Linked DNA regions of Lonchura striata. The protein of the gene in region 3 purifies or fractionates together with the protein of the main gene of each other region. This does not show direct contact. Links are inferred from orthologs where the notes say so. Each region holds a gene or a part of one and is shown on either strand. Other genes may lie near its edges.

Region 1 (7,290 bases), on a different chromosome or scaffold from region 3:
ACATGGATTCCAGGTAAAAGGAGAGATTTAAGAGTCTTTTTCTGCAAGAGTGGGAAGATTCTGGCTGCATGAGATGGGTTATAAAACACAATTAAGAGGAACAGAGGGTCAGAGACATTGTGACAAAATGACATTGGAATTTTTGAGCTGCACATCAAGCATGTTCAACCAGTTCTAGGTATCATTAGCTATTTCTGAAAGGTCCACATATTGCAATCTCAGGAGAAACAACCCTCTAAGTTTAAAGACCTACAAGTCAGAAATTCACACTGGGTCAGTCCCAAATCTTCAATGCAGTATTTTTAGTCTAGAGACATGTTAACAGCATATGAGATGGTTAGAAATAATAGGCAAAATTCTTATACTTCTGAAAGCAGTAACATGATACCATGGAGAAAGCCTTCCGTAAGGACTCCTGTACCCTGGGTTCTGTTCATAGCCTTGTTAATAGCCTGGAAATGCTCTTGGACAAGTCATTTCAGCCCTTTCTGCTTCATTTTCATCCATACAGGGAGGGAGAGACGTGGTTCCTTTGCAAAACCATTTGAATCAATTAATAAGTATAATAAAAAAATTACTCCTTGTATTTCTTGTTCAAATCCACAAACTGTAGGTAAAGGCTCTGCATAATTAACTATAACTATATTCTCAAAATATTTTTTGTTCTCTCACAAGTATTAGGAAGCAAAAGCTAGAGAGAATATTGTGTATTTGACTTAAATAAAAGCCAAAAATTCACTGGGTTTTATTTTTTTTTCCATTTTCAAAGTCACTGTTTCTGAATAATTTTGAAGTAGAGCTTTAGGCCATCATATACAAGTTGAAGGCTGTCCTTACTTATGTTTTGTGAACCCCTTAGAAGTAATTCACAGATTCATTGACATCTGTTATCCTAGACTTGTTTTGATCAACTGTTAAAGCAATACCCACATCTTCAGGGTAAGGATGGATCATGACAACTTAAATGAATCTGCCCCACACTCAAAGGATTTCTAATAGGTTCTGAAGCAAGGCTTTTCAGGCTACTAGTAGATATATACATTAAATAGAATAAAATAGGGGTGATTCCTGCAGATCACCCTGGCCTCAATCAGCCTTGCTGATTTACCACTTTGCACTGTCTCATTGTAATTTCCCAGTCCTGCTTATTCTGTGACCCCACCACCTCTAATCTAACAGCAATACTCAGATTCTAGAAAAGAAACACTGATACACTATCTTGATATTTAAGTTGTTTTAACTGTCTTCACTTTAGAGAAAGTCAGCTGACTCAAAGTTGTTCCTGCTGTCTCTGCATATCACCCTCACAAACAGGAATCCCCTCCATGACAACTTGCACTACATCTCTCTGTAAAGCTGCCTCATCTCTAACCATTCTATGTTAACACATAATTAACAAGTTACTGTTATCATTAAGCACTCTGTGGCATCTCTTCCTTCATGCAGGAAGGAAGGTGATCTCTTCAAAGCAACAGCCAACTCTTCAAGAAACAGAGAACCAGTTATCATTAACATTTAAATAGACACTCATTTGAAGTTCAGTGCAGCTTAGAAGATGGTCTGAATATGATGAGCTAGCACTTGACAACTCTGTCCAAATTGCTTATGCTATAAATGCTCCAAGCAAGCTCTTCACCCAGGTCTTACACCTTTTTCTGTTCATAATGTCAGGCTGTTCAAGGGTCACCAAAAGGTGATTTGTGGCCAACATAACCAGCCCAGCAAGCATTTCTATTGTCAACAATTATGTAAAAAGATCACTGTACAGTTTAGCTCCACTTCCCATTCCCTCTCTTCCCAATTTAAATAAAGAAAAAGCTGTTTTGACAAAGGCAAAATTATCTTGCCAGTATAAATCACACCCACATTCAGGAATGGCTTATTAGCACATCATACAGGATAGCTTAAAGCACCTCCACAGTGGTCAACACAATGAAGCCCCAATTATTAATTTAGGCTTTCAATGCCATTTCTATCACAGAATGGTGTTTTCCTTCTCAGAGGCTTTACAGCAGCAAGGGAGACACAGGATGGCTGAGTAGAACATTTTAAAGACTGACAAACAAACCTGAAATTATGACCAAGTCCCAGACAGGATACATTTAACAGCTGTGAGAAGAGATACAGAGATTTAGTCAATAATGTTTTGATGAGTTTTCAGGCTTTCTACTGTTTGGCCTTCTGAAGTACAGCCAAGAATGTCAGACAAGAGTACTGCAAGTATTTCTTTACTCCATGCCTTGTAAGCAAACACTGAATACTTAGAGGAATCACTTTTTCTGCGCCAGTAATTTATTGAATCAAGTCTGTATAATTCAGCATGAGGTTCTCATTGTATCAACTCGGACCATTTATCCCAAACATCTATAGATTGCCCTCTATCTATTTTGGTTGTCAGTGAAGGCACACCTTGGACCTTAAAGAGCTAATTACAGAAAGTGTTTTTATAGGCCAAGAGACCATTCGGTTTCAAACCAGTGCAAGACTTATTAAGAAAGTTTAGAGCTTGCTTCAATTAAATAATGTGTTATTCTAGTATCAGAACTTTTAGATTCTTGAAGGTTGTATGTGAAAATCAGCTTGTCATCCATCCTTGAACAAGCTTTCAAAGACTAAGAGCACTAAACTTTTGGAGTATACCTACATTGAGAAATTTCAGATAATCTTGTGACACCAAGAATTCATTTGCTTGGCGAAGAGAGCATAACTAGAACAGCTAGGGATTCAAATAGTTGAAATACTCCAGTTTAAAGATTAGAAGTTCCTAGTGAGGAGGGAAAAAGCCCTTAACCATGACACAGTAAGTTCAGCACAATACTTGGGTAGGGTTATTCTTCCTGTTCAAGAGTTGAAGCAGAGTTTCACAATGCTACTACCAAAAATAAAAATATTTCAATTATATTTACATGTAATTATGTAGCTCTACAGAATCTTCAGTAACATAGCCAATAATCATTATGACAGAAACTGCCTCCAAACAGACTGATGTTTATATTCTTTTTCCCTACAAAAGTCTTCTCACAGGAGCTTAACTTCATTATCTCTTCCTCTAATATCAGGGAAGTTGGCAAGAATTATTTCTCTCAGACATCCTCCACTGTTTCTCCAGTCATTCTTTAAGGCAACAAAATGTTAAGTCTAAAAAGTGCTCCTTAACAACTACTGAGATTTCTCATACATTTATATTTGGTCTAATATGAACTGAGAATTAGAATGTCACTGTCATTTCCTTTCAAATCACAAGTGTTTTTTAAAGCTTCTTTCTAAAAGCTGTCATTTACTTTAGCTATATTATTATACCTTCATTAGTCAGCTTGAAACAAGCTCATACCTAATGTGTTTTTAATTACCATCATTTATTTACATTTTCTACCACATAACACTCTTTTACTTTTCAGGCATAGACAAGGGCCCTGGTTCCAGAAGCTCCCAGAGCTTAGTTTAAGTAGGACTCCACACAAACCCACCTTCACAACATTAGAAGCAGATTCCTGAGCAACCCCACAAAGAGATGATCTCTTCCTCACTGCTTAGGTTGTGCCATCCATTTTATTATGTGACTCCTGAAAAGGAAAAAGATCACAGCTAGCTCCGTTTACTTCTCTTCCCTGCTCTGAGGCCATCAGCTGAGCACCAACACAACAAATAGAATAAAGGAGGAAAAGCCTCATGCACTTGTCTAAAGCCCAAAATAAAGGGCATTATCAAAACGCAGCACAAACACGACTGGGCACACCAGCCGAGAAAATACACACAAATCCAGAGGGAAAAAAATAGTTAACAACCAGTCAGGAAACCGAAACGAGCCGGCAGCCACAGCACGGCTAATCCGGGCAGGGTTACCAAGGCACACGGCACCACAACAAGGCACCGTCGCCAGACGCCCGCCCTCTCTCCTTCATCACACACGGCCGGAGCGGAGCCCGCCGGGACCCGCCGCTGCCCGCCTGCTGCCGCCGAGCCCGGCGGCTTCCGGGCTGCCCTGGGCCGCGCCGGCCCCTCACGGGAGCCGCTGCCAGCGCGCCCGGGCCCGAGCGCCGCCATTGCCGCTCCACACGGGCGGCCCCGGCCTTTTATTGGACTCGGACCGCCCCACCCCGCGCCGCGCCGCCCGCCCGCCCCGCCCCAACCCGCGCACCGATAGTACGGATACACAGATTGGCCGCGCCGGCTCCGGCCGTTTGTGTCGGGCGAGCCGATTGGCGGAGCACGGCCGCCCAACGGCCGCCCGCTCGCGAGCGCGTCCCTGGCGGTGTCAATGGCTCCTCCTGCCACGGAGCAGCGACGGGCCTGAGCCGGGCAGGACCGCGGGATCGCCGGGGGCCGGGACGGGGGGGGCGCGGCGCCATCGTCCCCCACAGCAGCGCTGAGAGAGCCGGCGGCTCCTCTGCCTTCGAGCGAGCCGGCAGCGGCAGCGGGACCCGCGCCCGGAGATTTCCCCCCCGCCCTTCCCTGCTGCCCGCGCCTGCGAGGCGGCCGCCCCGGGGCTCCCTCCGAGTGCCCCCGTCCCCGCCGAGGCACCGGTTGCCGGAGGATTCCCCCCTCCCCTCCCGCCGCCCACACGAGCCGGCAAATGAACTCGGTCCGAGCCGCCAACAGGAGACCCAGGCGAGTGTCCAGGCCGCGCCCGGTGCAGCAGCAGCAGCAGGAGAGGAACAACGCCGCCGCCGCCGCCGCCGGGGATCGGGGTAAGCCGGGCTCGGGGCCCGCCCTGCGCGGGGACCGGCAGGAAAAGCCCAGGCTGCTTCACCCTTGGCTCCCGCTCAGGCCGCGCTTTGTTTGGCTCGGGCTCTGCCCCGGCTCGGGGGGAGGCGGGGGCTCGGCCCCTTCCCCGGCCGGGGATGGGGGGAGACGATCGCCCGCGGCCCCTCGGGACAGGACGCCCCCCCCGAGCCCCCGCCCCGTCCCCGGGGACCGCGAGCGGGCGAGCCGCCCTGGCCCCCCGGGAACACCGGTGCCTCCCGCGGGGAGCGGCGGGCCGGGCCCCGAGGGCCGCGGGGGGAGAGCGCCCGGGGGGCTGCGGGGCGGGGGGAGGCGACGGTGTCGGGCCGCTTGCGGCGGCACCTTCCCCGAAATGGTGTCCGGGGGCGGCGGCCCCGGGTCTGGCCGAGGCTCCGCGGGGCCGGGCCCGCTGCGCCGCGCCTGCTGCGCAGTTCGGGCTCCGGCCCCGGCGCCGGCGGGGGGGCCGCGGCCCGTCGGCCATTGATCCCCCCGGCCGCACGGCCCCCGCGCCGCGGCGGGGACTCGGGCCGCCCGCGCCCCAGCCCTGCCCGGCCGGGGCCTAGCGTGAAAATGTTGACAATTCGGAGCTAGCGGGGGAAAGCACCATTGTGTGAGGGCATGAGGAAGCGGCGAGGTGGGATTCGCCCCTCATGGAGCCAGGAGAGGGGTGCGGGGGAGCTCCGGGTTGGCGGCCCCTCGGGCCTGTCGCTGTCGCCCCAGTGGTGGCTCTGGGGGTGCCACTGTGTGTGTGCTCCGAATGTGCAGGACTGGTGGTGGCTGGGCTTTTTTTTTTTTTTTTTTTTTTTTTTTTTTTTTTTTTTTTCTCTTTCTAAGGCGAGATGGGGGTGGGATTGGAGGAGACATTTTGCATGTCTTATCTGGTGGATTGGATTTTAATTTTTTATGCGTTACCTGTCACAACTCCGGCGTGATAAAGGAGACTGATCCGTGGTGCGGTCTTAGGTGTACGAATGCCTTTTTTAAATTTAAAAAAAAAAAAAAAAAAAAAAAAAAAGGGCTTCATTGTCAGCTAAATGTCTTTTGTTTGAATATCTATGATATCACATTGAGAACAAGATATTTTAACCACGGAGATGCGTCGCGATAAATATTTTAGTGCATTTTATGCAATCAGAACATTTTAAGTAAATGAAGTAAAGAAAATTGAATCTGAGGAAGTATTTTTAATTCTCCATTCCTCCCCCTCCCTCCCCTTCCTTCCCCCGCCTCCCCCTCGCACACATTGGTCAGAGCAAAGAATGTTACCCAGACCAGATTGCTGTGTATATAACCAGAGGATGTGATGTCTTATGCCCAATTATGGGTCTTGTGTAAACCTTCCAAAATTTTCAGTAATTATATGATTAAAATGACTTCTCTGGTATACTGACATTTAAAAGAAAAACAACAACACGGAAAATAAAGCAAAACAACAACAAAAAAAGAACTTCTTCCTCTCAAAGACGTGCACTAAAGGGTCTTCTTCATCGACGTTCCATTTGGAGAATATAGGGATTTTTTCCAACCCCATGGCTTACTTTGCCTTTTAAACAGATGAAAATACAACTTATAAAAGGCATCCAGAATGATGTGCTTATGGATTAAATGCAGTGATTATTATTCAGTTTTACGTTGGATTGCCGCTGTTCATATGTTACTAATTTGCTAAAGATACAGGCAGAAACTTTCTCTATTAAAATGTGAGGCTGCAGTGTGTTTGTATTACCCTGACATTTCTGGAACTCTAGACTCACCTAATTTTATTTTTTCTTCCACATTGTTCTGTGCTGTTGACCATTCAGTGGTGATGAAATTATAACAAAATCAAATTCCATGGTTTGTGAAAATTACCGTTCCATGTGGATCACTGCTAGCTTTTTCCTTGCAGTTTTGAAGGTCAATTGTGCTAGGTCCCACTTGCCCAAAAATGTATCGACAGCATTAAGGTTTTTTTGTCATTAGTGTTCCATCTGCATTTGGGGTGTCTCTAGTGCTGTTTCCGTTCTATCTCAGGATTTGCAAGGTCTGATCCACTGTATCTGGAAGGTAATTTCAGTTTTACCTGTGACTTTGGTCGTTTTGTGCAGGGCTATTGCAGTAAAGGCTGATGAATAATGCTACTAAATTAAAAGCCAGTGTGCTGGGGTTAGACTGTACCATGCAAATCAGTGTTGACTTTTTTCACCTTTATTCCCAAGCAATGTAGGTCATCCTAAAAAAAGCTGCACAAAAGAATCAGTATAAGTTATTAGGAAATGGTTTCTATTGAACTCAGATTTAAATTTGTTAAAAAAAAAAAAAACCTCCTAATACTGTGAATGCAGCTATGACTGAACAGGAATTATTTTTTGTTACTGTTAATTTCTTTCCTCCTTCATATTACAGCTCTGTACTTAAGGCACAGATATCATGGGACAGAGTTGATAATACAGTTCACGGTTAATCTTTGGAACTTCTTGTTTCATATCATTAGATTTCTTAGTAAAACATGTACTAGGTCTTGAGCTTTATTTATTATTTAATGCTCTGTAAGTAGACAGTGTTTTACAACTGAGTAACAGCTGTTAC
Region 2 (7,671 bases), on a different chromosome or scaffold from region 3:
CGACACGGCCTTCATGGCCACCACCATCTGCGCGCCTGCGGCCCGGACGGGGACCCCGAGATGGGACCCCGGACTGGGGACCCCGAATTGGGGACCCCGAGATGGGACCCCGGATTGGGGACCCCGGATTGGGAACCCCGAATTGGGAACCCCGGATTGGGAACGGTCAGGGGACCCCGAAATGGGAACCCGGATTGGGAACCCCGAATTGGGAATCGTCAGGGGACCCCGAGATGGGACCCCGGATTGGGGACCCCGGATTGGGGACCCCGAGATGGGACCCCGGATTGGGAACCCCGGATTGGGGACCCCGAGATGGGACCCCGGATTGGGAACCCCGGATTGGGGACCCCGAGATGGGACCCCGGATTGGGAACCCCGGATTGGGAACGGTCAGGGGACCCTGAAATGGGAACCCCAAATTGGGAACAGTCAGGGGACCCCAAAATGGGAACCCCGAATTGGGAACCCTGAATTGGGAACCCTGAATTGGGAACCCCAAAATGGGAACTGTGAGGGAACCCTGAAATTGGGAACCCTTGAATTGGGCACCCCGAATTGGGAACGGTCAGGAAACCCCGAAATGGAACCCCAAAATTGGGACCGTCAGGGGACCCCGAAATTGGGAATGGTCAGGGGACCCCGAAATTGGGAACCCTGAAATTGGGAATCATCGGGGGACCCCGAAATTTGGAATGGTCAGGGGACCCCGAAATTTGGAACAGCCAGGGGACCCCGAAATTGGGAATCCCAAATTGGGAACCCTGGATTGGGAACCCCAAAATTGGGCACGGTCAGGGGACCCCGAAATGGGAACCCTGAATTGGGAATGGTCAGGGGACCCCGAATTGGGAACCCTGAAATGGAAACCCAGAAATGGGAACGGTCAGGGGACCCCGAAATGGGAACCCTGAATTGGGAACAGTCAGGGGACCCCAAATTGGGCACCCCCAATTGGGAACCCCGAAATTGGGAACCTCAAAATTGGGAACAGTCAGGGGGCCCCGAAATTGGGAATCCCGAAATTGGGAACCCCAAAATTGGGACCGTCAGGGGACCCCAAAATTGGGAAGCCCGAATTAAGAACCCCGAAAATGGGAACCCCGAAATTGGGAACCTCAAAACTGGGAACCGCAAATTGGGAACCACGAATTGGGAACCCCAAAACCGACGCCATCAGGGGACCCCAAAATTGGGAACCCCGGATTGGGAACCACAGAACCGAGAACCCCGAAATGGGAACCTCGAAATTGGGAACCCCAAAACCAGCACCGTCAGGGGACCCCGAAATTGGGACCTTGAGGGGACCCCAGAATTGGGAACCCCAAAATTGGGACCATCAGGGGGCCCCAAAATTGGGAACCCCGAATTGGGAACCTCTAAATGGGCACCCCGAAACTGGGAACCTTGAAATGGGAACCCCGAAATTGGGAACCCCAGAATGGGAACCCCAAAATTGTGAGCCCCAAAATGGGCACCCCAAAATTTGGACTGTCAGGGGACCCCCAAACCTGGAACCCTGACACCAGGAACCCCGAAATTGGGGGGACCCCAAAACTGGCAAATCAGTGCACCCCGAAACCTGGAATATTGGGAACCCTGACACGGGGTGGGGGGGGGGGTGGGTCGGGGGTCCCAGGGGGGATTTAGGGGTCCCAGGGGGATCTGGGGCTCCCGGGGGGGGGGTCGGGGTGTCCCGGGGTGATTTGGGGGTCCTGGGGGGGGGGTCGGGGGTCTCACCTCGCATCTTGTGCCACGTGACCGTGTCCACCATGTGCAGCTCCCTGGGGGGGCTCCCAGTCACTCCCAGTTCATCCCAGTGCCCTCATCTCCCTCCCAGTTCATCCCAGTGCCCCCCCATCTCCCTCCCAGTTCATCCCAGTGCCCCCCCATCTCCCTCCCAGTCGCTCCCAGTTCATCCCAGTGGCCCCAGTCCCTCTTCCAGTCCCTCCCAAAACACCCCCAAACCCCCTCCCAGTCCCCCCAGTGCCCTCCCAGTGTCCCCAGCCCCTCTCCCAGTGCCTCCCAGCACCTCCAAATAACCCCAAACCCCCTCCCAGTCCCCCCCAGTGGCCCCAGTGCCCTTCCAATGGCCCCAGTCCCCCTCCCAGTGTCCCCAGTCCCTCTCCCAGTGCCCTCCCATTGGCTCAGTCCTTCTCCCAGTCCCCCCAGTCCCTCTCCCAGTCTCTCCCAGTGTCCTCCCAGTGCCCCCAGTACCTCCCAGCACCCCCAAATCACCCCCAAACCCCATCCCAGTGCCCCCAGTCCCTCCCAGTGCCCCCAATCCCTCTCCCAGTGCCCCCAGTCCCTCGCGGTGCCCGCACCCCATGAGCAGGTAGCTGAGGGCGGCCAGGGCGAGGCAGAGGCCGCGGTGGGCGCGGGCCCGGCTCAGGAGCAGGGTGAGGACGCAGAGCGCGCTCAGCAGGGCCACCCACAGCGCCTGCGCCCCGAAGAAATGGTGCAGGGCCAGGAGCCCCCCGGCCGCTGCGCCCGCGTGCTTCCCGCCCCGCGGCAGCGCTGCGCCACAGCGGGTCAGCAGGGCGCCCGAGACACGGGCACCCGAACCCCGAAACCCCCGAGACCCAGGTACCCGAACCCTGAAACCCCGGAGACCCGAACCCCAAAACCCTGGGGACCCAAACCCCGAAACCCCGGGGACCCGAACCCCAAAACCCCGGGGACCCGAACCCTGAAATCCTGGGTACCCAAACCCCAAAACCCCCCAGACCCAGGTACCCGAACCCCAAAACCCCGGGGACCCGAACCCCAAAACCCTGGGGACCCAAACCCCAAAACCCCGGGTACCCAAACCCCAAAACCCCCGAGACCCGGGTACCCAAACCCCAAAACCCCAAAACCCCGAGGATACCCGAACCCCAAACCCCGGGGGCACCCAATCCCTGAAACCCGAAACCCCAGCAATCCCAAACCCGGGGTACCCGAACCCCGAAACCCCCGAACCCAGGGTACCCAAACCCCAAAACCCCAAAACCAGGGGATACCCAAACCCCAAAACCCGGGGTACCCGAACCCCGAAACCCCCGAACCTGGGGTACCTGAACCCTGAAACCCGGGGGTACCTGAACCCCAAAACCCCAAAACCAGGGGGTACCCAAACCCCGAATCCCCGGGGGTACCCGAACCCAGAAGCACCAGCACTCCCAAACCTGAGGTACCCGAACCCCGAACCACCCAAACCTGGGGATACCCAAACCCCAGAACCTGGGGTACCTGAACCCTAAACCCCAGGGGTATCCGAACCCCGAAACCCCAGGGTACCCGAACCCTAAACCCCCAAACCCGGGGGTACCCAAACCCCGAAACCCCCGAACCCGGGGTACCCGAACCCTGAAAACGGGGCTACCCGAACCCCCCAACCCGGGGTACCCGAACCCCGAAACCCCAAACCCCGGGTACCTGAACCCCGAACCCGGGGGCACCCAAACCCTGAAACCGCAAACCCGGGGGTCCCCGAACCGCCAGCACCCCCAAACCCGGGGGTCTCCTCACCCCAAACCCCGGGGGTCTCCTCACCCCAAACCCCGGGGGTCTCCTCACCCCAAACCCCGGAACCCCCGGGGGTCCCCCGACCCAAACCCAAACCCCTGCGCTACCCCCGGACCCCTCCCCAGACCCCCGGACCCCCCGAGCCCCTGGGACCCCTCCGGACCCCCGGATCCCCCCAGACCCCCAGAAAGCCTCAGAACCCCCAGATCCCCCCAAACCCCCTCAGACCCCCGGAACTCCCCGGACCCCCAAACCCCTGAAAGCCTCGGAACCCCCCAGACTCCCCCGGATCCCCCCAAACCCCCGGACCCCCGGAACACCCCGGACCCCCGGAATCCCCTAGACCTCCCCAGACCCCCGGGCCCCCCCGGAGCCCCGGTCCCGTCGCAGCCCCACTCACGCAGCCGGTGCAGCAGCCGCGCCCCGAGGCAGAGCAGCAGCAGCGGCCAGAGCTGGGCCAGGCCCTGCCGCGCCGTGGGCACCACGCAGCCGGGCAGCACCTGCGCCGCGAACTCTCGCGGAGGCAACGCCGCCATCCCGACCCCAGCGGGGCTCGCTGCGCGCCGGGACCCCCCAAAAAACCCCCCAAAACCCCAAAAAACCCCAAAAACCTCCCCGAACCCCCCGCCCGCGCCTCGCCCGGCGCCGCCGCCCGCCCGCCTGAGGGGAAAGGGGCGTGGCCCCCGCTCCCACCAATCAGCGCCCGCCGTCCCTCCCCGCGCGGCGGCGCCGACCAATCAGAGCGCAGCGCGGCCAAATGGCGGCGCGCGACGGGGCGGCCGTTGCCAAGGGCGGGGCGCGGTTGCCGGGGAGCGGGGGATGCCGAGGGGGCGTGGCCTGTTGCTAAGAGGCGTGGCTCTGTTGCTATGGGCGTGGCCTCGTTGCCGCTCTGCGTTGCTGGGGCCAACCGGGGGGGCGTGGCCTGTTGCCAGGGTGATGGTTGCTAAGGGGCGGGTCTAACCCCGCGCAGCATGTGTTGATTGGCTGTTTCCGGGGGCGGGGCCTGTTGCCGGGGTGATGGTTGCGAAGGGGCGTGGCCTCACCGCGCGGAGCGGGCGGCGATTGGCTGCGGCGCCGGGGGCGGGGCCTGTTGCCATGGCGGCGCGGCGCGGCGGGCGGCGCGGGGCAGTGTGGGCCGGCGGCGGGGCGCGCCCGGCGGGATGGAGCAGTACCTGGTGCTGGGCCGCATCGGCGAGGGCGCGCACGGCGTCGTGTTCCGGGCCAAGCACCGGCAGGTGCGGCGGGCACCGGGGGGCGGCAGCGGCGCCGCGGGGCCTGGCTGACCCGCCGCCTGTCCCCCGCCAGACCGGCGAGCTGGTGGCGCTCAAGAAGGTGCCGCTGCGGCGGCCCGAGGAGGGGCTGCCCCTGCAGACGCTGCGGGAGATCAAAGCGCTGCGGGAGATGGAGGCGCACCCGCACGTGAGTGAGCGCGAGGCAGGCCCAGTGCTCCCAGTTTGGTTCCCAGTCCCTCCCAGTCCCTCCCAGTCCCCCCTCAGTGCTCCCAGTTTGGTTCCCAGTGCTCCCAGTCCCTCCCAGTCCCCCCTCAGTGCTCCCAGTCCCTCCCAGTCCCCCCCCAGTCCCTCCCAGTCCCCCCCAGTGCTCCCAGCGCTCCCAGTCCCCTCCCAGTGCTCCCAGTGCTCCCAATTTGGCTCCCAGTGCTCCCAGTTCCCTCCCAGTGCTCCTACTCCCCCCCAGTCCCCCCCAGTCCCCTCCTAGTTCCTCCCAGTTTGGCTCCCAGTGCTCCCAGTCCCTCCCAGTCCCTCCCAGTGCTCCCAGTCCTCTCCCAGTCCCCTCCCAGTTCCCTCCCAGTCCCCCCAAATCCCCAGTGCTGTCCCCGCCCTCCTGCCCCCCCCAATTTCAGGGTCCCCGCCTTCTGCGGGTTCTTCTCCACCCCTGTTCCTGCCCCATGTCCCCGTGTCCCCCCAGCTCCGGTGTCCCCTTGACCCCCCGGTGTCCCCTCCCCCACCGGAGCCGGCTCCCGGTGTCACCGTCCCCGTTGTCCCCTCCCTGTCCCCTCTGTCCCCTCTGTCCCCTCTGTCCCCACTCTGTCCTCTCGCTGTCCCCGCAGGTGCTCTGGCTCTGTCCCCTCTCTGTCCCCTCTGTCCCCTCTGTCCCCTCTGTCCCCGCTGTCCCGCAGGTGCTCTGGCTCTGTCCCCGCTGATGTCCCCTCTGTCCCCGCTGATGTCCCCTCTGTCCCCTCTCTCTGTCCCCTCTCACTGTCCCCTCTCTCTGTCCCCGCTCTGTCCCCTCTCACTGTCCCCTGGCTGTCCCCTCTGTCCCCTCTCACTGTCCCCTGGCTGTCCCCTCTGTCCCCTCTCACTGTCCCCTCTGTCCCCTCTGTCCCCGCTGTCCCGCAGGTGCTCCGGCTCCGCGCCGCCTTCGCGCAGGGCCCCGCGGTGGTTCTGGCGCTGGAGCTGCTCGTGGCCGACCTTGGGGGGCTCCTGCGGGCGGCGCCGGCGCCGCTGCCCCCGGCGCGGGTGCGGGCGCTGCTGGCCATGACCCTGCGCGGGCTGGCACACCTGCACGGGCAGCGCCTGCTGCACCGGGTGAGCCCGCACGGGGATCGGGGACCCCGAAAACGGGATCGGGGACCCCGAAAAAGGGATCGGGGACCCCGAAAATGGGATTGGGGGCTCCAAATTTGGGATTGGGGACCCAAAAACGGGATTGGGGACACCAAAAATGGGAGTGGGGACACAAAAAATGGGATTGGAGACCCCGAAAATGGGATAAAGGACCCCGAAAATGGGATTGGGGACCCCGAAAATGGGATCGGGGACCCCGAAAATGGGAGTGGGGACCCCGAAAATGGGAGTGGGACCCCGAAAATGGGAGTGGGGACCCCGAAAACGGGATCGGGGACCCCGAGAACGGGAGTGGGGACCCCGAAAATGGGATTGGGGACCCCGAAAACGGGATCGGGGACCCCGAAAATGGGATTGGGGACCCCGAAAATGGGAGTGGGGACCCCGAAAATGGGATTGGGGACCCCGAAAATGGGAGTGGGGACCCCGAAAATGGGATTGGGGACCCCGAAAATGGGATTGGAGACCCCGAAAATGGGATTGGGGACCCCGAAAATGGGATAAAGGACCCCGAAAATGGGAGTGGGGACCCCGAAAATGGGATAAAGGAACCCAAAATGGGATCGGGGACCCCGAAAACGGGATCGGGGACACAAAAAATGGGATCCGGGACCCCGAAAATGGGATTGGAGACCCCGAAAATGGGATCGGGGACACAAAAAATGGGATCGGGGACCCCGAAAATGGGATCGGGGACACAAAAAATGGGATTGGGGACACAAAAAATGGGATCGGGGACCCCGAAAATGGGATAAAGGACCCCGAAAACGGGATCGGGGACCCCGAAAATGGGATTGGGGACCCCGAAAATGGGATCAGGGACACAAAAAATGGGATAAAGGACCCCGAAAATGGGATAAAGGACCCCGAAAATGGGATCGGGGACACAAAAAATGGGATTGGGGACACAAAAAATGGGATCGGGGACACAAAAAATGGGATCGGGGACCCCGAAAACGGGATTGGGGACCCAAAAAATGGGATCCGGGACCCCGAAAATGGGATAAAGGACCCCGAAAATGGGATCGGGGACACAAAAAATGGGATAAAGGACCCCGAAAATGGGATAAAGGACCCCGAAAATGGGATAAAGGACCCGAAAATGGGATTGGGGACCCCGAAAATGGGATAAAGGACCCGAAAATGGGATAAAGGACCCGAAAATGGGATTGGGGACCCCGAAAATGGGATAAAGGACCCGAAAATGGGATTGGGGACCCCGAAAATGGGATTGGGGGCTCCAAATTTGGGATTGGGGACCCCAAATTTGGGATTGGGGACCCAAAAACGGGATTGGGGACACAAAAAATGGGATTGGGGACCCAAAAAATGGGATTGGGGACGCAAAAATGGGATCGGGGCACCAAAAATGGGTTTGGGGACCCCGAAAATGGGAGTGGGGACCCCAAAAATGGGATTGGGGACCCCAAATTTGGGACTGGGGACCCCAAAAATGGGATTGGGGACCCAAAAATGGAATTGGGGACCCCAAAAATGGGATTGGGGACCCCAAAAATGAAAGTGGGGACCCCAAAACATGGGACTGGGGACCCAAAAATGGGAGTGAGTACCCTAAAAC
Region 3 (6,924 bases):
CACCTCCTCTTTGCAGGACACAGCTGTGTTTCAGAGCCACCTTAGCACAGAGATGTTCGTGCACTGAAAGCAGCATCCCTGGAGGGGGTGGTGTGGGAAGCAGGTTCCCAGTGCCACCCCCACAGGCTGTGCTGATGATGGCTGTGGCTCCCAAAGAGGGGTGCAGCCCTTTTTGGAGCTGGGGGTGTTTTCTCTGGCTGGCTCACAGCCAAAGCCATGGTAGCTGCTTGCTCTGTGGCCCCACTGTGGGTCCTGCCAGAGGTGGGTTTGGAGCCAGCCATCCCACTGCTCTCTCCTCTGGGCTGGCTGTGTCTCCTCTAAGCTCAACAGCTCCCAAATTCCTCCCTGGGACCCCAGGGCTGGGCGCTTGATGTGAGGGGGGTGACATCTCCAAAAGGCCATCCTGTGGCATGCGAGGTGGGAGCTGCAAACAGCAGGGAGGGCTGAAGTGGTGGGGACAAGCCTTGTGCCCTGTTTGGGGGGACGTGCTGGGTGTCCCAGCCTGAAGGAGCCACAGCACCACACAGGGAGAGCTTTGGAGGTCGTGCTGAGCTGAGAAAACCACGGCAGCCATCTCTCCCCTAAGTCTCAGCACGGGCAGGGGAGAGAGAACCGGGCTGATGCTCCAGGAGCATCTCCTCTACCAAAGCCCACCTTCCTCGTGGTTTCAAAGGGGACAAGGACAGCTGGCCTGGCACCCTGGCACAGGCTGCTTGTGGCTGCCAGCAGAACAAGGAGGACTTAGGAGAGACCGTGAGGGTTTTCTGGCTCCTCGGAGCGGTGAGAAGGCTGCAGGAGCGGCCAGACAAACACACGGGGTGGGCGCTGGGTGGAGAGGAGCCGGGAGGATGCTGTGGCCGAGCGGTGCTGCTGCCTGGCTGCCAGCAAGGAATCCATCCTCTGGGTGGCACAGGAGAGACGGGATTTGGGCGTGGGTGACATCAGTGCCGTCCTCGGCCACCCAGAAGGGACAAGGGGCAGGCAGGAGCTGCCAGCGCGGCGTGGGCTGGAAGGTGGCAGCCCCTTGTTCCAGCGACCCACGTGTCAGGGATTTAAGGAAGGAAACCAGATTGCTGCTTATGATTTTGCTTTGAGCATGTTTTGGATTTTAAGAGTATGTTTAATAAAGGGTATCTTACGTGGACGAAGTGTCCAGAGTCATTTTGTGGTGGCAGGGTGAGGGCAGTCAGGGTTTGGGGGATGTGGTGTGTAAAAACCCTTTTTGGCTGGGAGCACCCACTCACCTGTCACCCAGGCACCTTCTCCAAAACAGCCCAGCTGATCCAAATGTCCTAAAACACTTCTCAACCTGCATTCCCAACTATCCTAAATACTGCCAGGATGGAGAAGGGGCAAATGCAAACTAAACCTCTGCAGGAAGTCTGGCCTGGGGTAGAGGCATCTTCCTGCTCTGTGGTGTGGGTGGCCCCTGTCACTGCTGGGATGGATGAGGACACCCAGAGGGAACTTTTCCTGGGGGAGAAGAGGAGCAACAAAGAGCTGGGAACACATGCCAGAGAAACCCCTCCAGTGGTGGGGAAGAAAATGTGTGCTGAGAGCTGAAGGCTTGAAGGTGAGGAGGGCTGTAAGGGGGGTTATATTTTGGGTTTAGTGGAAGGGGCTGATGATGGTGGGGCAAAGCAACTTGCAGCTGAATCAGAGTCAGAATCAATCAGATTGGAAAAGGCCTCTAAGATCATCGAGTCCAACCCATGACTGAGCAAGCTCGGGGGGAATGTCTTGCAGATGGTCAGATCCTTCAAAGGGGTCCCTCCCTGGCCTCTGATAAAGCTCTCAGAACAGCAGTTAGGGGGTAGGGAATTCTTAGAGAAGCCAGTGGCTGTAATTTTTTAATTAAGTGAAGGCAGACTCCATCCTTTATTTTTGGAGTCTGCCAGCCCACCTTCAGCTTTGCCCTCATTGCTGTGGGAACATCAGGAGCAAGAAATGGGATGGGGGCACAGGTAGGAGGAAAAGGGCTGGGGTTGCCCCTGGAGGGGCAGGACTCAGGCGTTCATAGAATCACAAACGGTTTGGGTTGGAACAGACATCAAAGATCATCCAGTTCCAGCCCCCCCACACCACAGGCAAGGACACCTTCCACTATCCCACGCTGCTGGGATCCCCTTCCAACCCGGCCTCGAGCTATTCCATGCACAGCTTCTCTGAGCAGCCTGTCCCGCCAGCCTCAAACAACCTGTCCTGTGATCCAGTCTAAAGCTGCTCTCCTTACCTTCGAAGCCATTGTCCTTTTTCCTATCGCCACACGGCCAAAGTCCCTCCCCAGCCTGCTCACGGCTGCCCTGGGGGGCCGAAAAGCCGCCAGGAGGGGATCGGGTGATAAGGTGATAAAGAGATTGATAAGGTCATTGATAATGTGATAAGGTGATTGATAAGGGGATAAGGTGATAAGGTTATAAGGTGGTTGATAAGGGGATAAGGAGATTGATAACGTGATTGATAAGGGGATAAGGTGATAAGGTTATAAGGTGATTGATAAGGTGATAAGGAGATTGATAAGGGGATAAGGGGATAAGGTGATAAGATAAGGTGATAGGGTGATACATAAGGTGATAAGGTCATTGATAACGTGATTGATAAGGGGATAAGGTGATAAGGGGATAGGGTGATAGGTGATAAAGAGATTGATAAGGTGATTGATAAGGTGATAAGGTGATTGATAAGGGGATAAGGTGATTGATAAGGTGAGAAGGTGATAGGGCGATAAGGTGATAAGGTCATTGAGAAGGTGATAAGGTCATTGATAAGGTGATTGATAAGTTGATAAGGTCATTGATAAGGCGATAAGGTGATAAGGCCATAGATAAGGTGATAAGGTCATTGATAAGGTGATAAGGTGATTGATAAGGGGATAAGGTGATTGATAAGGGGATAAGGTGATAAGGGGATAGGGTGATAGGTGATAAAGAGATTGATAAGGTGATTGATAAGGTGATAAGGTGATTGATAAGGGGATAAGGTGATTGATAAGGTGAGAAGGTGATAGGGCGATAAGGTGATAAGGTCATTGAGAAGGTGATAAGGTCATTGATAAGGTGATTGGTAAGGGGATAGATAAGGTGATAAACTGATTGATAAGGGGATAAGGTGATTGATAAGGGGATAAGATGGTAAGGTGATTGATAAGGTGATAGATAAGGTGATAAGGTGATTGATAAGGGGATAAAGTGATTGACAAGGTGATAAGGTGATTGACAAGGTGATAAGGCGATTGATAAGGGGATAAAGTGGTTACAAGGTGATTGATAAGGGGATAAGGTGATTGATGAGGTGATTAGGGGATAAGGTGATTGATAAGGTGATTGATAAGGGGGTGATAAGGTGATTGATAAGGGGATAAGGTGATTGATAAGGGGATAAGGTGGTAAGGTGATTGATAAGGGGATAAGGTGGTAAGGTGATTGATAAGGTGATAGATAAGGTGATAAGGTGATTGATAAGGGGATAAAGCGATTGACAAGGTGATAAGGTGATTGATAAGGTGATAAGGTGATTGATAAGGGGATAAGGTGGTAAGGTGATTGATAAGGTGATAAGGAGATTGATAAGGTGATAAGGCGATTGATAAGGGGATAAAGGGGTTACAAGGTGATTGCTAAGGTGATAAGGTGATAAGGCGATCGATACGGTGACCCCGGATCCCCCGACCGCCCCGGGCTGGGCGGGGCCCCGCGGGCACCGCCCCCGTCGCCATGGCAACGCGCGGGCCAATGGCGAGCCCGGAGGATGTTGACGGGGCGGGGCGTTGCCGTGGCGACGCGCGACGCCTCCCGGAGCCGCTACTTAACCCGGCGGGGCGGCCGCGGCTCCCGGCGGCTCGGCGGGCACGGCCCGGCCCGGCCCCACACCCACCGGGGCTCTCTTTCCCCGTTGCTTTTCGTCCTCCCCCCTCCCCTCTTATTTTTTGTAATTTTTTGGTATTTTTTTCCCCGTCCTCTCCAGTTTTTCCAGAAGCTTCTTAGCGTGTCGTGAACTTTGCCTCTCGGGGGACGACAGCGACACCGGGACGGGGTAAGGGGATGCGGCGGGTCTGCGCGGGGGAGCGGCTTTGGTTATGTGTCCTCCCGGCCCAAACGCTCGGGATTTCGGGTTTGCATTCACATCCCCGACACAGGACTCCCCAAAGTCTGAAGCGGGCTCGCTCTGACTGCGGGTGTGCTTGGGGTGGGACCCCCCCAGTTCCCCCAAACCACCCCTGAGTTGTTTCTGGGTAGCACAGGAAGTAAAAGCAGAAATAGCATCAAATTGAGAGAAGTTGGCTGCGAGGGGGGAAATTTCGAAGTATTTTGCCCTGGTGTGGAATGCTGAGAGTTAGTCCTGTGAGTGCTAGGTATTCAGAGATGTGTGTTCCCAAGAAATATCCTGACTTTTTGGGATGGCAGGGCTCGATTTTGGTATTTTGAGGTGTTTTCTGTTGTGTTTTTTTTTTTAAATTCTTTATTCAGCTGAGAGCTTGCTGGGCAGCGGGTTGGTGGGTGACACTGCGGTGTAGGAGTTTGAGGGAATTTCCCCGAGGTTTGAGGGTGCTAAAGCCCCTCGGGGCAGGCATTGCAGGTCCCTTGCAGAGCACACCAGGGATGGGTCTCACCCAGCAATGCCGGGAGCACCCAGAGCTGGCCCTGCCTGGCTGTCAGAGGCTGCACCTTGTGGAACCTCACCCCTGTCCCTGTTGTTATTGCAGGATTTGCCCCATCCCTTCCCTCCCGTTCACGTGCAGCCTGGGAAGCACTGAGGGAGGCATGGCGTGGCCCAGCCGAGCACTGAAAGCCAAGGGCAAACTGGAGGAAGACCTGGATGACAGCCTGCCAGACCTCATGTGGCTGAGGGACTTCACAGTGGCCCAGACTGGCCTGCCTCAGTTATACTCTGGCTCAGACCCCCAGGATTGCTACACCATGAGTGAGAGTCTGTTCAGCCTGGTTGATTTTGAGTCCCCGTGCTCACCCCTGGCTGCTGACCCGGCCTGCAAGGGCACACGCCACACCCCCTGCACGCCCATCTCCTCCTCCACCTCCTCCACCACGCACCACGACCTGGCTGTGCCCCCTCATCTGGCAGGGGACATCGACTACAAGACCAACCCTCATGTCAAGCCACCCTACTCCTACGCCACCCTCATCTGCATGGCCATGGAAGCCAGCAATAAACCCAAAATCACCCTCTCTGCCATCTACAAGTGGATTACTGACAACTTCTGCTACTTCCGACACGCTGATCCCACCTGGCAGGTAGGAGATGTGGAGCCGTGGCCACTCTCCCTGCAGGGCTGAGCAGGGCTTTCCACAACCTCCACTCTGCAAGACGAGATCATGCAGGGGTGCTGGATCCCACTGGGAAAAGAGTGACTCCAGTGGGGAAGGGCTGGAAGGGGAAAGAACTTGGCTGGGCACAAATGCCACGGCCCCGGGGGGGGCAGAGGGAAGGAGCCATTTGGGGGGAGAGCCCAGGACCATTTTGGGAGCAGGGAGGCACTCGTTGGGCTCCTGGCACCTGAGACTCCTCTTGGCTTCAGGGCAAAGGCCTTTTGGTCCCTACATTCCTGGAGTTCTCATGGAGTCCCTCAGGGTTGAGCACACGTGGAGAAGGTGCCAGGTCGAGTGTCCCTGGGTGCTGAAAACCAGGGATGGAGATGCCACTTGTTGGACAAGTCTCCCACTGGGGAGGTTCTGAGCAGAAATGCTGCTGGTTTCTAAGCAGGGCAGAGTACTGGGCTCCTGGCACCAGGGACAAGCCAAGGAGGCTCCATCACTGGGATGAGCTGGTGAGACCTGCAGAGGGAAGCCCAAGAGGGGTTAACTCGAGCTGCTGTCCTCAGCTAGCAGAGCATGTCCCCAGTGGGGAGGTGACAGCCCCCGGGCTCACAAGCTTTGGGGACAGCCCAGGGGCTTTCCCAGCCACCTTGGCTCACTGCCCTCCTCTGTCACACGAGGAGACCTCTGGCACGTGAGATTTTCTGGGATATGGCAGGGCTGGAGGGCCCTGGGGGGCTCATCCCTCCACTGGGGTTATTCCCATCCCAAATCTGCAGCGTGTCGCTAATCCTGATGGCAGTGCCCATCCAAGCAGAGCTGGAGAACCCCACTGCAAAGCTCAGGCATTGCCCACCTTCTCTCCAGGCAGGTGGGTCTCCAGTGGCTCTTGAAGCCCATCATGGGGAAGGAAACATTCCTGGTCCCCCTCCATGGCCATCTTAGTCCCCCTCTTACACTCCTATGAAAGTGATTTGGAAGCAGGAGCTGGGTGCCAACAGGTTGACTTTCTCCTGCACACTTCATGGCTGGGAATTTGCAACATTTTTAATTAAATGTGTTCATTAAAAAAAGAAAGAAGGTTTTCAATCCCTCTCTGCAGAGATGCAGGGGGTATCCTGGACCGTTGCAGGCAGGAATGATAAATATGTTGACTGGCTGAGTAATAATTCAGCCTGGGCTGAGCGAAGTTTGGGAAGGGGAGGAGAGATGGGCAGCAGAGAATTCAGCTTTCAAGCCTCTGATCCTCGTAAAATTTCATTACACAGTAAAATTGGAGTTACCACAGCCTGGATTGTGTGGGGGAATATCTGTGTTCCTGCTTTTTCTTTCTTCTCTTTTCTTTTTTTTAAATCTTTTGTTTCTTTTCACTTTTTTTTTCCCCCTTCCTTTCTCTCTTTTTTTTTTTCTTTTCTTTCTTGTCGAGGCTGTGTTCTCATCCCCTATCCCGATTCCCGTACGTGAAGACAGCCTGGAAAGGTCATGCCACCCATAGTCTGGGGGGAGATGGATATATTCCTGTGGGAGCTGAGTGCTTTGGAGAGGAGCCAACAAACCCAAGGAGCTTCAGCCCAGAGGAGGGTTTTGTTGTGTGTGTGTGTGTGTGCATGTTTTTCAACAGCTCTAAGCAATTGAGCCTTGTTTTTCCTATTCG

The links.
Region 1: the proteins of FOXJ1 (region 3) and FBXO11 purify together in Homo sapiens (affinity purification with mass spectrometry; 3 studies listed by BioGRID and IntAct, counting the BioPlex papers as one, with this or other methods). This does not show direct contact. The link is inferred for Lonchura striata from reciprocal best matches to the Homo sapiens genes FOXJ1 and FBXO11.
Region 2: the proteins of FOXJ1 (region 3) and cyclin-dependent kinase 20-like purify together in Homo sapiens (affinity purification with mass spectrometry; 3 studies listed by BioGRID and IntAct, counting the BioPlex papers as one, with this or other methods). This does not show direct contact. The link is inferred for Lonchura striata from reciprocal best matches to the Homo sapiens genes FOXJ1 and CDK20.

What each region holds. Positions count from the first base shown.
Region 1 is NC_134605.1:20,231,316-20,238,605, reverse strand, and holds the start of FBXO11 (F-box only protein 11), read left to right. Parts: upstream 1-4,264; 5' UTR 4,265-4,573; coding exon 4,574-4,688; intron 4,689-5,263; exon of another isoform or gene 5,264-5,340; coding exon of another isoform or gene 5,341-5,356; intron 5,357-7,290. UniProt on the Homo sapiens protein: Substrate recognition component of a SCF (SKP1-CUL1-F-box protein) E3 ubiquitin-protein ligase complex which mediates the ubiquitination and subsequent proteasomal degradation of target proteins, such as DTL/CDT2, BCL6, SNAI1 and PRDM1/BLIMP1.
Region 2 is NC_134638.1:2,109,925-2,117,595, forward strand, and holds the start of cyclin-dependent kinase 20-like, read left to right. Parts: upstream 1-4,645; 5' UTR 4,646-4,667; coding exon 4,668-4,742; intron 4,743-4,812; coding exon 4,813-4,926; intron 4,927-5,864; coding exon 5,865-6,053; intron 6,054-7,671. Other genes in the region: PORCN (protein-serine O-palmitoleoyltransferase porcupine), read right to left, coding at 1-35, 1,741-1,784, 2,325-2,517, 3,908-4,043. UniProt on the Homo sapiens protein: Required for high-level Shh responses in the developing neural tube.
Region 3 is NC_134621.1:4,222,220-4,229,143, forward strand, and holds the start of FOXJ1 (forkhead box protein J1), read left to right. Parts: upstream 1-3,892; 5' UTR 3,893-4,032; intron 4,033-4,702; 5' UTR 4,703-4,760; coding exon 4,761-5,249; intron 5,250-6,924. UniProt on the Homo sapiens protein: Transcription factor specifically required for the formation of motile cilia. Acts by activating transcription of genes that mediate assembly of motile cilia, such as CFAP157.